Mus musculus: one gene and its partners. The protein of the gene in region 4 interacts with the protein of the main gene of each other region in a pairwise test. Links are inferred from orthologs where the notes say so. Each region holds a gene or a part of one and is shown on either strand. Other genes may lie near its edges.

Region 1 (4,252 bases), on a different chromosome or scaffold from region 4:
CAGAGACTCATCACTGCCCAAAGGGCTAACTAAGATGCTGTAGAAGAATGCTCAGTTCTACATGGAACATCTCTATGGCCCACTCTAGGTTCAGAGAGCATCACAGAGAGGTGCAAAAGAATGCTAAGAGCTGAAGAACACCTGAGAGTGCTGTGGAACACTGGCATGCCCTCTTGAACTCATAGCAACTGGGACTGTCTGCATAAACCTGCTCAAGACTATGCCAGCACGCCAACATGAAAGGAATATATAGTCAGTTAATGGCTGCCAGGGTAAGAAGAGATAGTGTCTTCATGTTAAGTTGCCCTTGTTCCTGTAAGCAACACTAATTAAACTCACTAGGTCCCCCACACCCATGGCCAAGATATGCAAGTAGGAGAGAACTTGGGGGAGGGGATCAGCAGGAGTGGGAAGGTGACAAGAGAGTAATGTGCTGTTACTATGATAAAAATACATTGTGTACACATACAAAAATGTCATAAGGAAACAATTAAAATGCATGAAAAACTTTAAAAATACATCCATATGGGCCTGGAGAGATGGCTCAGCGTTTAAGAACACTGACTGCTCTTCCGAAGGTCCTGAGTTCAAATCCCAGCAACACATGGTGGCTCACAACCATCTGTAATGAGATCTGACTCCCTCTTCTGGAGTGTTTGAAGACAGCTACAGTGTACTTACATATAATAAATAAAAAATAAATCTTAAAAAAAATACATCCATAGATAATACAAATGCTTTATTCATGCCTTTCAGTTTTATTAGATTCTTAAAAACTAAAGATATATTCCAAAGCTGAAACGTAACAATTTCATGCTAGTTTCATGCTGCCATTGCTCCATCAAGGCCATTCTCAGGTAAGCACACCGAAATCAGGGGCTTGCTTTTACACATCATCACTGCAAAAGTCATGGGAGACACAAAAAGCTTTACTCATAATTCTTAAGGTCTCAAGACGCCCTTGAATGGTGCTGAGGTGTACTCCAGGCTCAGCTAACCACAATGGGTAAACTGCTTTCCTAGATTAGAACCTAGTCAAGATGGGAGTGGCAACTCTTAAGCCCACCTGTTCTCCTCCAAGTCCTTTCTATTTTTATTTCCGTTTGACATACCCTGACAATACAGGGAAGGGGACAGAAATCGAGGGCACAATCTAATTGTTTTAACACTATATTTTGATCACCTTCCCACATTAGCAATACTCTTTAATATACTGATTATCTTAGTTGCCCAGTGTAGATAAAGATGATACTAGCCCTCCACTCCACCCCACCCTCCAAAAAAAAAAAAAAAAAACCTTTTAGGCACAAAGTCCTTAAACTTCACGTTTAATAGCCTCCAAAATGCTTGAATGCACCCTAAAGTTAAGAATGACGACAATAAAGAAGTCATCCCAATTTCCTCCTTCCAGAACACGGACGGGGTCCAACTGCCTTGTCACCGTCCAAGAGGAACAGCTGCCTTACTCCTTTCTCGCTTCATCTGGGGAAACTGCTTTTAAAACCTCATCTTTGTGGCGTTTTGCGCTACAAAAGGAGGTGAACAGGTGTGGAGAAAAGGCTATCTCTGCACTGTTGAAAAGACATTACAATTCAATCTCCATGTCTTCCTAGAGAACGAAAAGGCCAAAAAGACTCTCAGCTCTCTTACTAAAGGCTTAAGATAAGTGAGAAATGTGCAGTGGTATTGACCCTTTGCAAGAATTCCACAACTCAGGAGAGGAAACCAGGACCATAGGCAGACACAAGGGAAAGCAGGTGGCTTGATGACATTACTCTTTTTCAGAAGGTGTTGAAAAATCTAAAGAAAATAGTCCTTGGGCTAAATATGGCGCCTACAGCGGCAGGACATAATCACCAGAAAATAGATTCTGCCCCATTCCATTTTGTAAATCACAGCGCCATCCATGCATAAATTTGGGGGCCGAGGGAGGAGACTTCCTCAACTAGCTGCAGAGGCTTGGGATGTCCTCGCAGACGGAGCGGGATTACATAACACAGGGGACCGGCGGGGCAGCCACTCGCTTCCCTCCTCCCGCTCAAAACCAGCGCTCACGCCTCCGCGCGTGGGGGCGGCGGGAACCCCGGGCTCCACCGCTCCGCAGCTGCGGCCCCGCGTGCCCGCGCCTCTGCAAACTCCCCCCCATCCCCGGTGACCGCCGCCGCCCGCGCCGCCCACTCCTCCGGGACGCTCGCGCCCGGCGTGCCTGTGGACGTCCGCGGTGCGCGGCCGTGGGGGCGCGAGCGCGCGCGGCACCGCCAGGGGGGCGGGGGCAGTGGGGCATCCCGGGGCCTGGGCCACCGTCGCCGGGGCGCGCGGCTCCGTGGCCCGGGTGCGCCGCAGACCACGTGCGCGNNCCACAGCGCGCGCTGCCGTGGGGCGGCCGCCACTCGGGGGCCGCGGGGGCGCGCTCGGCCCCTCCCCCAACCCGCGCGCGCGCCCCATCCCCCTCTCATTGTCTCGTTTCGGAACGCCTCGGCCCAGCGAAAAGATAACGGAACCCCCGGGAAAAGGGGGTGGAGAGCGCCGGGGTTCGCTCGCTCACTCACCTCCCGTGGTCGTCGCCGCCGGTAGTCTGACCCGAGGAAGGTGCCGTCGCCTTAAAGGGACCTTGCACCCGGCGCCGGGAGTAGGGGGTGGGAGCAGGGGAGGGGACCGGGGTTCGGGGGGGAGACGGGGAAGAGGGAACCGTTGAAAGCTCCTCTCCCCGAGGGTGAAAGGAAGCCTCCCTCGGGTTCGAGTGATTGGGGTGGATTTTTTTCCCGAGGGGGGCGGGGGGCCCCGAGGGAGGGGGTGGGGGGGCCAAGGAATGTGGCTCCGTGTATGGGAGCTGGCGCGGGGGAGAGAAACGCCGACTCCCCCCACCGACCCTCTCGCCCCGCGGAGGGATACCTCTCGTCACTTCCGCCCTCCCCTTCTCGTGCTCTTTCAATTGGCTGGCTAGTACGCTACGTCATCGCTCATCCTAACCCTTGTCCGGGCTTCTTTTCTAGTCAAGTTTGTCTGGGCCTGCAAATAAATAAATAAAGAAAAAGCTTTCATGGAGAAAAGAATAATTAGCTTCACAAACAGTTTCCAAATTTTGCTGAGAAAAATGACACTACCAAAGAAAATATCTCATAATATACTTTCTTAGACTTTCCAGACAAATTTGCACTCTCCCTACTTTCTATTCAAGGTTTATTACCAATTCAAGAGAAAAACTTCATGCCACAAGCAAAATGGTGAGTCCCAATGGCACCAACAACTGTTGTTGCAACAAAAAGCAAGATAACACTCTACCTTAAGAGACACTTGTCTGAGTAACCTTCTGTGACAGTGTGCCTTGTATAAATGAAATACTTTTTTGGTTTTGAGGTTTTGTTTTGTTTTTCTGCTTGTTTGTTTGTTTATTTGAAACAGGGACTTTCTACAGAGCCCTAGCTGTCCTGAAACACACCAGATAGGGCAGGCTGGTCTCAAACTCAGAGATCTACGAGTCTCTGCTTCCTGGGTACTGAAAACTAAAGGAATCACCACCACACCTAGCTAAAGAATTGTTTTTAAAACCTATTTTATCATCAAGCCCTTCTGGATTCTGGGGGAGAAACCTCGTGATTATTAAGGTCATTCTACCGGCGGGAACTGCTTTTGAAACCATTGTGCATAGACTCAGCAGAGATCTCCAATCTCAGAAACCATAGATTCCATGGCCCCGTTGGATTGGCTCAAGTAAATTGATTAGTCCATTCAAGATTATCTACCACTTTTCATACAAACAAAAACTAACTTCTGGTAGCTAAGTTTTGTCCTTCATTATGTCCTCAGATGATAAAATGCAGTATTTCCCTTGGGTTTTTGAGAATGATCTTTAAGCCATATATTGATACTTGCTCCAAACCAAGTTCTAAACAAAGTTGCTTGGTACAGGAATGGGTAGATCCAGAGCCATACTTATTCCTTTGCATATATTCTCCAAACTGCCAGCTAGTTACTTTCATCCAGCGAAAGATATCTCATCAAATTACACCACGTTTTGTTGACCACAACAACCATAATCACATCCTACTGAAGACATTTGATACGCCATTATTTCATCCAATATTTATTGTATATTTTTCATGTTTCAGGCACTGTTCTTGGTGCTAGGAATACAGTAATAAAGTCCCGGGGCTGTAGAGATGCCTCAGTAGATAAGAGCTGTCATTGCTCCTCTGGGTCATAATTCAGTTCCCAGCACCCTGAACTCTGCTCATAACTGCCTGTTCCTCCA
Region 2 (3,560 bases), on a different chromosome or scaffold from region 4:
GAGGCCTCCACTGTTAATATCTGATAGCTTGCGATACGGAAGCAGTGTCTTAGTAACTGGGAGGGGGGTGTCAGATGCAGGGCCCTCAGGGCTCCCCTGTCATCAGAGAGCCTGTTGCCTACTTGGTTTGGGGCCCAGGATGAGGCTGCAGGCCCCCACTCTGCCCAGTGCCCTGGATCTCACCCAGGTCCCTCATCACCTCAGCATTCGGGGATCAGATCCCTGGGGGCAGGCAGGGATTAGAGAAGGGGCCTGGCGGGTGCAGGCTTGTTACTTCAGGGCAGGGTGGTGAGGATTCTGGTTTCAGTTCAAGCAGACTTGGAAGGGGGTGCTGGGAAGGGGGGCTTCATCATCCTGAGGGTGCCAAAGAAGGATGTGGGTGAAGGGCACTAGGTCATCAAGAAATGCCTTGACAGGAAAGAACAAGCTTGGGGAACAACACGGGAGGGCCCTGGTGTTATAGAAACCCAACCTCCCATAGGATCGAGTTTCCCAAGCCAAGACAGAAAGGGAGATGGGCCATGATGGCACAGTCCTGAGATCTGTGCTGAGAAACAGGCTGGGCAATTGCTCTGACACCAGAGTCAGCCTGGGCTACCTAGTGAGTTCCAGGCTAGCCCTGTATGAAGTAATAATAACAGCTCAGTAGCTTGAAGCTCATCAGGGACAATGCTTATAGCTCAGTTGGCAGAGTGCTGCCTACCATGCACAAAGCCTTTGGATTTGAACCCTAGTACTGCAGAAACTACCTCATGCCTGTCACCTTCGGACTCAGGGCAGAGGCAGGAGACTCGAGAGTTCAAGGTCATCCTCGATTCATAGCCAGCTTGAGACAAGCACGAGCTACACGTAAACCTATCTCAAAAATATAAAATGGTGGTGCATCTGCTTAACCCCAGCACTTGGGAAGCAGAGGCAGGCAGATGTCTGTGAGTTTGAGACCAGCCTGGTCTACAGAGTGAGTTTGAGGAAAGCCAGGGCTACACAGAGAAACAAACAAACAAATTAATTAAATAAAAGGAGGTTGGATAGTTGGCTCAGAGATTAGGAGCAGTTGTTACTCTTGCAGAGGGCCCAGGTGGAGTTTCCAGCAGCCACATGGTGACTCACACTTCCAGGGGTGACAGTGCCTTCTTTTTTCATCCACAGTCACTAGGCACACACATAGTACACAGACACACATTCAGACAAAATGCTCTCATACTATATAATATATATGTTTTGTGTGTGTGTGTGTGTGTGTGTGTGTGTGCACACGCGCGCGCAGACATACCTACATATGCTCCACCAGGGAGGGCCCTGTCACTGAGAACTCTCTCTACCAACTGTGGGCAGCACTTCCTAGGATAATGTTCAAGATCCCAAGATGGGCTCTGATTGGTTACTTGGAAACAGTGTTGATTGGCTGGGGCCATGGGACATGCCCTTCTTAGACTACTAAAGTCCCTCCTCAGAGCCCCATCCCAGGTTTGACCACAGACAGCTTCTCTAGCGGGTTTCTGTCCTGGCAGCTGGGCTATGGTATGGCCACCTGTCCCTAGCCCCCTTTTCCTTTGTAGGTATGAACACCCCCAGCTCTTCTCCACAGCACCGGCCAGCAGTCGTCAGCCCCCTGTCCCTGAGCACAGAGGCCAGGCGGCAGCAGGCCCAGCAGGTGTCACCCACCCTGTCTCCGTTGTCACCCATCACTCAGGTGCGAGGGCGAGGTGGGTGGGAACACGGGTATCTACCAGCCCCTCCCCTTCCCCGGCCTGGTCTTTTTTTTAAAAAAACCAGTTTTATTTATGTATGTATTTATTTTTAATGTGTATGTGTGTTCTTGAGTGAATTTATGTACACCATGTGCATGCAGGTTCCCTTGGAGACAAGAGGTGTCAGGTCCCCTGGAACTGGAGTTAGAGGTGATTAAGAGCCACCATGTGGGTGTGGGATCTGAACCCAGGTCCTCTGCAAAAGCAGCCAGTGCTCTTAACGAGCCATCTCTCCAGCTCTGTTTGTAGCATTTATCAACAAAAGTTTGAACAGAAACTACACAAATCAGTGTTTTTGCAATGTGTATTTTATGATATTTCTGGTTTTGAGACAAGGCTTATGTAGCACTGAGTAGATGAAGATGACCTTGGACTCATCATTCTTCAGATCCCATCTCCCGTGTCACCGCTCCTGGCAAAACTAATGGTCTTGGAGTGGCCCAAGAGCCATCAGCAGGCATTGGAGTGACAGACACCCATTCTGCAGCTTAGGCTGGCCCCACACTTACAGTGACCTTCCTGCCTCAGCCCCCAAGTGTTGCATGACAGTGGTACCCCTGCCCAGGGTCTCTCCCTGTTTACTTCCTGTGTGAGATCCACCCTCAACAAGTTGGGCTCCCTTGCTCTAGGAGAACAGACTGTGGGGGTCAGACTGTGCTACCATGGGCCAGCGCCTCTTCCTCATCCTTGTCTTCTGCAGGCCGTGGCTATGGATGCCCTGTCCTTGGAGCAGCAGCTGCCCTATGCCTTCTTCACCCAGACTGGCTCCCAGCAGCCTCCCCCACAGCCCCAGCCACCGCCTCCACCTCCACCGGTATCCCAGCAGCAGCCACCACCTCCACAGGTGTCTGTGGGCCTCCCCCAGGGTGGTCCACTGCTGCCCAGTGCCAGCCTGACTCGGGGGCCCCAGCTGCCACCACTCTCAGTTACTGTACCATCCACTCTTCCCCAGTCCCCTACAGAGAACCCAGGCCAGTCACCAATGGGGATCGATGCCACTTCGGTAAGCCTAGGGGGGTTCCTGGGCCCTCAGTGTGTGTGTGTGTGTGTGTGTGTATTCATGAGTGGGTGGGTGTGTTCATGAGTGGGGTATGTGTATTCATGAATGATGTATACATATTCATGAGTGAGGTATGTGTGTTCATGAGTGGGTGTGTGTTCATGAGCGGGGGTTTGTTTATGACTAGGGTTGTGCGGGTGAGTGCCAATTGTATGTGTGTTCATGTACTGTGCTTTTAGGAGTGTGTGGATCACAGTCTTGATGTCCAGATCTGTCAGGGGTATGCAGGTGCATCCAGAGGGCACTGTGCCTGATGCCATCAGCTTTACACAGGGTCAGGCCTAGCGTCAGCCAGAGCCCTGCTGTGGCTTCCAGGTGGGCCCTGTAGTCCTCTGTGTGTGCTTGCCCTGAGAAGCCAGGTTTACAGTCACATCTCCACCTCAGATTCTCACAAGCCAGTGACTACCTGTGTGGCATCCATTATTGAGGGTCCAGGCATCCGGCTCAGGTCTGTTGGGCCAGTCAGGAGTCAGTAAAGCATGAACTGTCTGTCATCACAGGCACCAGCTCTGCAGTACCGCACGAGTGCAGGGTCACCTGCCACCCAGTCTCCCACCTCTCCGGTCTCCAACCAAGGCTTCTCCCCTGGAAGCTCCCCACAGGTAAGGCCCCTTCCCCTGGCCCTATGCCACGTTGTGTGTCCCATGTGCTCAGTGCTCCCCAGTGCTGTCCTCCATACCATGCCATCTGTCCTCCATCAGCCTGGGGTCATGCCCCCATCAGGCGGGCTCAGCGGTTCTCAGGACACC
Region 3 (4,285 bases), on a different chromosome or scaffold from region 4:
AGAGAGCTCACTGGCTACCCACATTAGCCAAAATGGCAAGCTTCCAGTTCATTGGGAAGGCTATAAGGAAGTGTGACGGGAAAACACCCAATGTCCTGCTCTGGCCTCTGCATGCGTGGGCACACGTGTCCACACATAAATGCATCAACTGTAGGGGAGCAACAGGCTTGCAAGTGACCAGTTATTTGATAGAGGGTTGTGCTAAGTGGGAATGGCAGTGGGCACAGAGATGTGAATGCATTGTTTTTATATGTATGGTGTATGGGCAATTGTGAGTATAAGAACATGCACCTGTATTCATATGGAAGCTAAAGGAGGACATCAGATGTCTTCCATCACTCTTTGCTTTGTTCCTTTGGGTCAGGGTCTTACTGAACATGAAGTTGGCATTTCTGGAGTAGGTGAGAAAGTCAGCAAACTCCAGTGATGCTCTTGTGTCCACCTTACTCAGGGTTGGGGCTGCACCTGGCTTTTTTGTAGATGCTGGGACTGAACCCAGTCTTTGTGTTTGAACAGCAAGATCTCTTAACTGCTGAGTGATCTCTCTCTAGACCCTTCAAGGGCTTTATGAATGAAAAATAGGTTAAAGAGACAGGATTTGATGATACCACACATTGGATGTAGGCACCAAGGCTGACAGTGCTGGTATGATATTTGATGTCTATGTTCAGGACAACATGGAAGTCTTAGAGTAGGAAATAGTTCTGTTTGGGATATGAATTTGAGGTGTAGAGAGAAGATATGTTCCTGTAATATTGAGTAAGCAAATAGGCACGATCTTGAACTCCAGTATCTGGGGGTGAAATCTGCACAAGGAGCCATCAGAATAAACGTGAAATCTGGAGCTTTGAGAGTGTGTGAGAGCCCTAGGGGAGGATGTGAGAGTCTGAGAAAAGTAAGCTTGAGATTGCCCCATAGACGGAGGGACTGGGGAGATGTGGGTTGATGGTAGAGTGCTGGCCTTGAATACACAGGACCTAGGCTTAATCAACAGTGAAAACAAGACAAAATTGAAAACTGGAAACTGATGCTGCTCCAGTGGATGAGTGACTAAATGGATGGGAAAACCCAGGAGCATCCCGTGTAAAGCAAGAACACAGGTCAAGACTGAATGCAGACTGTGCTTCAACACCGCAGTCCTGTATACACCCTGACATGTTTCTCACGCTGGATTATAGAAGCATGGGTACTCTGGGGACATTGTTCATTAGTTTAACATAGTATATTCTGCATATTATATGCCACATGGCAGATACTCAGTAACATAGAGGAGCCACAGAGGGAACTTACCAGGTTGTGTAAAGTGCCTTTTGTAATGAATGTGTTCCGAACTGCACTTCATTTCAAGCTTTGTGGCCAATGATGAATAAAGGTGTATGGAACTTGGGACCTTGGAAGTTCTGTAACCAAGATATGGAAGTAACAACAGCCAGCCAAGACAAAAAGAATGTTCTTTTCTTTCCCCTTCCAAGTTCTTAGTGAAGGGCCGAGCCCAGCATCCCAGCCTTGTGTGACTTGGTAAACACTGGGACCCTAACTTCACTTCAGTACCCTCCCTTCAGGAGCTCAAGGTGGCTTCTCCGTAGACAGAGGCTTCTAAGTATCAAAGCTCCCCACTGCGCAAGCCCAACATCATGGGGAAGGGAGACACCTCGGAAACAGCATCAGCCACCCCAGCCTATCGCTCTGTCATGGAGGAGTATGGTTATGAGGTGGGCAAGATCATTGGCCATGGCTCCTATGGAACTGTCTATGAGGCATACTACACAAAGCAGAAGGTCATGGTGGCTGTCAAGATCATCTCGAAGAAGAAGGCCTCTGAAGACTATCTCAACAAGTTCCTACCACGTGAGATACAGGTCAGAAAGGGAGCTGAAAGAAGGAACTTAGGCTTATTAATAAGCTACTTGAGGTATCTTAGGGGTATAACTATGAAAGGGTGGCTCCAGAAACCTCCAAACCAGAACTTAGGAAACTTCTGTAACTTATATATATATATATATCCTCTTTCCTATGTGCAAATATTCAGCTCACTATCCAATGTCCCCTCAAGTAAAAATGCAAAATGGGATTTACCCAGACACCAACAGATTCTGTTTCGAAGTAGTAAGTAGCAATGGGAGAGTGGAGAAAGGCCAGCACGGTGGGAGTTTGCCAGGTTTGATGGTTCCCTCTTTTGGAATCAGGTAATGAAAGTCCTACGGCACAAGTACCTCATCAACTTCTATCAGGCCATTGAGACCACATCCCGAGTATACATCATTTTGGAGCTGGCTCAGGGCGGTGATGTCCTCGAATGGATCCAACGATATGGGGCCTGTGCTGAGACCCTTGCTGGCAAGTGGTTCTCCCAGATGGCTTTGGGCATCGCCTACCTGCACAGCAAGGGCATCGTGCACCGGTGAGGATAGTCACCGGACTGGGCTTTGGGAATCTTAAGGGAGTTTTATGCATATTGCCCATTTTCTGTCCTTTTCTCTTGACTTCTCTCAATATCTAGGTCCATTTGTTCACCATATTGTAATCATCTGGTCAAGGACACTTGTATCCACTGTGTGAGAGCACTTTATACACAATGGTGAACTAGTGGTCCTCAGGTACCATCCTCTCTCCCTTTTGGGCTCTGCTCACAACTCCATGGCTTTGCTTCCCATAGACATCTCACTCCCACTTGTCCTGTCCTCATCTCTAGCCTCTGACCCCTTCTTTTCAGCTCCCGGTCTAATACTAAGCCCTCTCCCCAGCCTGACCCCCAGCCTTTCTGCTGCTGGTAGGGATTTAAAGTTGGAGAACCTGTTGCTGGACAAGCGGGAGAATGTGAAGATATCGGACTTTGGCTTCGCCAAGATGGTGCCTTCTAGCCAGCCTGTGCATAGTAGCCCTTCTTACCGCCAAATGAACAGCCTTTCCCACCTCAGCCAGACCTACTGTGGCAGCTTTGCTTACGCCTGCCCGGAGATCTTGCTAGGCTTGCCCTACAACCCTTTCCTGTCTGACACCTGGAGCATGGGCGTCATCCTCTACACTCTAGTGGTTGCACGGCTGCCCTTTGATGACACCAATCTCAAGAAGCTGCTGAGAGAAACCCAGAAGGAGGTCACTTTCCCAGCTAACTTGACCATCTCCCAGGAGTGCAAGGTGCTGGCTCCCCCAGGAGGGCTGAGGCCTTAGGGATGACCCATGGAGAGGGGAAAGGAAATACCAAATTTAGGCCTTCCAACTACATTCTTCCTCCCCCCAGGGTTGGCTTTTGTCATGCCAGAGCTCCTACTCAAAGTGGTGGCAAGGCTTTAAGAGGGTCAACCACTGAGCTTCAAACCTTAAATATGCTTGGTAATTAGGTCCCAGCAATGATCCCTTTAGGGCAAAAGGGATTATGCAAGAGCTCTTCTCTTTTTTTGCAGGGCTCCAGCATAAAACCAGGGCCCCAGCCCCTTTCACCAGAGTAGTGCGATGGGCCATCCTGCTTCTTCCTTAGGTCCAGCTGCTCAGTGCCTGTGCTCACAAAGTGGGGGCAAGCTCAGCCAAGCCCTCTCTCTCCCCTGCCCTAGAACCTGATCCTCCAGCTGCTACGCCAATCTACCAAGCGTGCCACCATCCTAGATGTCCTCAGGGACCCCTGGATGCTCAAGTTCCAGCCTGAGCAACCTTCGAATGAAATCAGGCTGCTCGAGGCCATGTACCAACCCACCAGCTCTGCTAAACGGCACCAGTCCTTGGAAATCACAACCTGAAAGTGGCTGAGGCAGGAGGCCAAGGAAAAAAGCAAGAAAGACTGGGGGGAAATCTTTTCTATAAAATAAACCTAATTAGTTTCACCACGTAGGGTCAAAGGCTTTCTTTCCTTGAGAGTCTTCGTGGAGACCACTGCGTAGGGGTAGATTTCTGCCCAGAGCCTGTAACCAGTACTCTTGACACCTGGGACAGTTAATGAAATTGACTTGGGGAAGCCTTACTGTGCCAACTGAGTTTGTGAGTTTGAGGCTCTTATTTCACATTTTTGTTCTCTAATGTTCTAGTGGCAGATGGGACGGGGGTGGGGTGGGGGATGAAGGTGGAGGGGGGTTAGTTTTGTGTTGACTTGGGCTCTGCCCATTTCCAGTTGAAAGCAATGGCATCATTCCATCTGTTCTGTGTTTGCTCCTAACTTGGGTAAAAGTTTTCACTGGAAAGCAGAGTTAACAAAAGGGAATGGGACGGTCTTGGCTTCTGGGTACCTTTTCTTTTCTCTCCAGTATCACGTTAACCACTACGGAAAGAATGGCAGTGATCCAGGGCTCCTTAA
Region 4 (4,191 bases):
AATGTATAACAGGTGAGTTTATATGGCTGTATCTGCTAACGTATTTGTAATAAACATTTTATATCGTATAAGCACTGTCACAAGTAAACAATGTTCTCTATTGTTTTAAAAAAGGCATATGAGATTTAAAAAAACAAACCCAAGGGCTTTACAAGTGACAAAACTACTTCTCTAAGAAAACTAAAATCCCTATGAGTATCTGAGGGTAGGAAAAAAGAATATTATGGTCTGTTTCTTCAGGCCCTTGTGTGAAATTCTGTTCAAAAGTGTTTAACACTAGTTTTAAATTCCAAAGGAATGCTCACTTAGTATTCATTAGGTAAGTTTTTGTAAATAATTCATTAGCTTTCTAAAATACATAGGTCCATCAAAAATAAACAACTAAAGGAGAGGAAGGAGGAAGAGGAGGGAAGCACACCGTGCTAGAACTTTCACTGACCTCTGCAAGAGAGAACTGTAATTTATTGTCAGGTTCCAGGTGAATGCTTGAAAATTAATGCACACAAAAAGTGTTCCAAGTTTCACTTGCAATTGCTGAGAATCAATTTGATTCTCCATAAAAGATCCCATAAATAAAACCTAAAGTATCTTTTGGTCAACACTGAAGAAAGGACACATAGGAATTTTTTTTTATTCTCACAGGGGAAGAATCATCCTCATGTATCATCACTATTGGCTTGTAGAAAATCTTTTGAAAAAACTATTTTATCATCAACATTACCATGTATAGAGTCTTCACTGTGTGGAAACAAAATCATCTTCTCAACCCTATGGAAACAACTCCTTCTATTGCATCTTAATTTTCTTAACAATTGCAAATTGGAGTGCTAAAGACTAGCAATGTAACTTGTCAAGTTTCAGAGTCCTGACGCATAGAAAAAAAATCAAACACAATGGTTCTATTACCAATCAATATTTATTCCTAACCAAAAGCCTTGTATGGACCAATCACAATTCAATGGTACAGTAACTGGTTGTATTGTAAAAGAAACAAGCAACCCCCCCCCCCAAATATATAAAAAACTGTGCACCTTTCAAATCAACTAAAATTTTGGGCTTTGCTTTTCAATTGGGAAATGATCATCAGGGCACAAGATTTCAATAGATGGCCCAAAGGTATTTTGTGCTAGATCTTTTGAAGGCAGATGTGGTGCAAAACTGAGGCTAGGATCAAACTCTTAACTTTGAGAAGATATGGCAGGTTTAAATAGGTCATACTGCAATGCCCTTTAAAAATGTCTTTGGATCTTTAAGGTGTCAATGACTTTTGACAGTCCCCTTTGCAGATGTTCTAGGTGAAGGAAAAAAAGGAACACCACAACCCCTGCTGGCTTAAACTGCCATCAACCTCAGGCTGGGATTACCTACGGCAATATACAAATAATGGATAGTTTCAATAACTATTTTTAGAGTGAGAATTATATCAATCCTCCATTAAAGTTCAGACAGAAGCGTGTGAGGAGCATGGCAGAGGCTAAGGGGAGATACGGATGACTCAAAAAACCTTGGCAAGACTGCCTCCCTTCAAATGACAGAAAACGAAAAGTACCTTCGCTAATACTAATTTCCCCTTCGATAATTTCTAAGGGTTTCAGAATGATTGACCTCAAGTGATCATTATCTTAGTGGAAAGGGTTAAAACCGAAACTGTTTTCAAGCACCAGCTTCCCTTTTACAAGATCCCAACAGTTTCTGCAAAAAGTTATTACATGTATGTTTTCTTAGCACCTCTTTCCTTCCCAAAAGAATGCATTCCCAGGACTACTGATTCGTTCTTCATCTTCAAAGCCGAGGGGTGAGGGAAATAGTAAAAAAAAAACAAAAAACAAAAACAAACCAAACAAAACAAAAACAAAAAACCCCAAACCCTTAAAACAGCCTAGGGCAGAAAACAGCATTTTCTCCGACCGCGTGGGAGCCGGGGAGAGGGGCAAGAATAAAATACAGCACCAGAGAAAACCTTGGGTTTCGAACTTTATTGCACAAAGAGCGCTGTAGAGGAAAGCAGGTCGGACGTTGCGGCTCGCCGAGCGGGCACCGCCGCGAAGGCGGCAGCACCTTCACCTCCTCTGCCCTCAACTGTCTCCTTCTTCTTCCTCCTCCTCCACCCCCCACGGGCACCCAGGCGGCGGCCCGGGCGGCCAGCCCGGCACAGCCGGGGCGAGCGAGCGTGCGAGCAGGCGGGCGGCGGCGGCGAGGAACGGGGGGCGGCGGCGGGCGGCCTCCCCCGGGGCGGCTCCGCTCCGCGCCGGCTCCGGCTCCGCGCCCGGCACGGCCGGGCCCGGCCCGGCCCGGCGGCGGGAACGCGGGCGCCAGCTTGCCGCGGCCGGCCGCCCGCTCGCTCGCACCCCGCCCCGGCCCGGCCGCCCCCCGCCATGAGCGCCGCCGCTGGCTGCAGGCAGAGTCGCTGCCGCCCGGCCGCCGCTGGCTCCAGTCCGCCGCCATTATTCTTTGTTCGCTGCGAGCGGCGGCGGTGTTGTGGGGCTCGGGCGGAGGCTCCATCTTTACCGCGGCCCCTCCTGCGAGGGGAAGGCCCCGAGCGCGGGTGTCCGGCGCCTCCCCGGCCCCCCTCTGTCCCCCCGGCTCTCTCCGGCTCCTGCCTCCTCCTCCTGCTCCTCTTACCGGTGGTACAAGCTCCTCCGTCACTGCTTTCGTTCGCGGCCCGGATCTCGCTGGAGTTTTATTCTCTCCCCCACGTAACACACCGCGTCAAACTACACCTCCGCCGCGTCACTCACCAACACTCCGCTTCTCCCAGCCGCCCGGGCCACAGGCAGCAGCAGCCGCCGCCGACTGAGGAGCCGCAGCCAGGGAGCCAGCCAGCGCCGCCCAGTGCCGAGTGCGCAGCGGCCACTCACGGAAACAGCCGAGCTCGACCCGGAGCCGCTCGACAGGCCCCGCCCCCGCGCTACTGGCGGAACCTGCCGAAGGCCTTCGGCTACTTCCCGGCGCTGCGAAGGGGTTGACCGGGGAAGCTGGTGTAGGCGGTTTGAGACCCGCTCTGGAGGCACGATCCGAGCCTCACTGTGGCGGGTGGAGGCTTCGGACGCCAGCTGAGGAGATTTGGAGGAAGCGGGGTTTGTGTGTAGCCAGATTTGGGGTGGTGTGGGGATTCCCGGGGTGGCGGGGACTTGCTGGAAACCCCCGCGCGGTCTGATCCTGCGGCGGAAGCAGACCGCCCGGGAACTTTGACGCGCCGCGAGGGCCCAGAGCCGCGCGGACGGCGCTGGAAGGTTGGAGACGCCGGCTACCGGCCAGGGGAGTCTGCCGGGCCGGAGCTGGTTCTTTGCTGGGAAGAAAGCTATGGCACAGGTGGCATGTGGGGATTCAGCTCCGCTTTGCGGCCAGCCAGAGCCCCTAGGTACTGGGTACCGTCCTCCCTCTGAGGCTGGAGAAATGATCAGCCATGCTGCTCTCAACACTTGAAACAGATCCCCACCCTACCTGCCCGCGACATCCTGTGCTGACTTTTCTCAGCCCTTTCTGCAGCGGTGGCACGCTGCTGCGGCGTGGCTTCCACCGTTTGCACCCCAGAACTTGACAGTGTGACTTCCGTAGCCTCAAAGCTACCGCAACTGCTCTCTGAGTTGCCCCTAACCGCCAGTTCTTCACCTTTTGTTGTTGTGCCGTTCAGCCCTCTTCCTATAGTTTTGTTCCTGCTGGACGCCAGCCCTTGTTGACGTTTTATAACACTGAGCTTGCCTTCATTCCGTGTGTCCTAGCCGTTCCCGCTTTCCCAAGGACATTATACTGAAGAGTAGCTTAATTTTCTTTTGTTTCTAACCAGAACTTTTAGCATGCTAACGTCTCTTCCTCTCTTTAAGAAGACTCTTGTGGCATTGGTGAGATGAATAAAGGCCCTTGCCACCAAGCCAGATAATCTAAGGTCAATTTCGAGAACCCACGTGGTAGAAGGAGAGAACCAGCTCCCATAAGTTGTCCTTTGACCTCAGCACTTACATCACAGTAGTATGTGTGGGCAATAAATAAAATATAGAAACTTCCTCCTTAAGCTCCTTTCCGAGTTCCACCTGTCTTTTACTGTCTCTCTCCATTTGCAGTGGCTCTGAATTGTCACAGTCTTCCTGTCTATGTAGTTTTGCATCTTGCATTTTCAAGACCATCCTAGCATTTGATGCTGTTTGACTCTTCCAAACACTCTCTCCCCTCTTCACTTGCCAGTTTTCCTTT

The links.
Region 1: the proteins of Creb1 (region 4) and Pogz interact in a two-hybrid assay, tested with the Homo sapiens proteins (2 studies listed by BioGRID and IntAct). The link is inferred for Mus musculus from reciprocal best matches to the Homo sapiens genes CREB1 and POGZ.
Region 2: the proteins of Creb1 (region 4) and Crtc1 interact in binary tests that used the Homo sapiens proteins (3 or more experiments, as listed by UniProt). The link is inferred for Mus musculus from reciprocal best matches to the Homo sapiens genes CREB1 and CRTC1.
Region 3: the proteins of Creb1 (region 4) and Tssk4 interact in binary tests that used the Homo sapiens proteins (3 or more experiments, as listed by UniProt). The link is inferred for Mus musculus from reciprocal best matches to the Homo sapiens genes CREB1 and TSSK4.

What each region holds. Positions count from the first base shown.
Region 1 is NC_000069.6:94,836,038-94,840,289, reverse strand, and holds the start of Pogz (pogo transposable element with ZNF domain), read right to left. Parts: upstream 2,854-4,252; 5' UTR 2,550-2,853; intron 1-2,549. UniProt on the Homo sapiens protein: Plays a role in mitotic cell cycle progression and is involved in kinetochore assembly and mitotic sister chromatid cohesion.
Region 2 is NC_000074.6:70,391,055-70,394,614, reverse strand, and holds part of Crtc1 (CREB-regulated transcription coactivator 1), read left to right. Parts: exon of another isoform or gene 1-928; intron 929-1,559; coding exon 1,560-1,693; intron 1,694-2,451; coding exon 2,452-2,754; intron 2,755-3,311; coding exon 3,312-3,413; intron 3,414-3,560. UniProt on the Homo sapiens protein: Transcriptional coactivator for CREB1 which activates transcription through both consensus and variant cAMP response element (CRE) sites.
Region 3 is NC_000080.6:55,648,715-55,652,999, forward strand, and holds Tssk4 (testis-specific serine/threonine-protein kinase 4), read left to right. Parts: upstream 1-1,469; 5' UTR 1,470-1,634; coding exon 1,635-1,859; intron 1,860-2,184; exon of another isoform or gene 2,185-2,186; coding exon 2,187-2,401; intron 2,402-2,500; exon of another isoform or gene 2,501-2,637; coding exon of another isoform or gene 2,638-2,744; coding exon 2,745-3,138; intron 3,139-3,404; coding exon of another isoform or gene 3,405-3,449; exon of another isoform or gene 3,450-3,551; coding exon 3,552-3,734; 3' UTR 3,735-3,825; downstream 3,826-4,285. UniProt on the Homo sapiens protein: Serine/threonine kinase which is involved in male germ cell development and in mature sperm function. May be involved in the Cre/Creb signaling pathway. Phosphorylates CREB1 on 'Ser-133' in vitro and can stimulate Cre/Creb pathway in cells.
Region 4 is NC_000067.6:64,531,452-64,535,642, reverse strand, and holds the start of Creb1 (cyclic AMP-responsive element-binding protein 1), read right to left. Parts: upstream 2,840-4,191; 5' UTR 2,623-2,839; intron 1-2,622.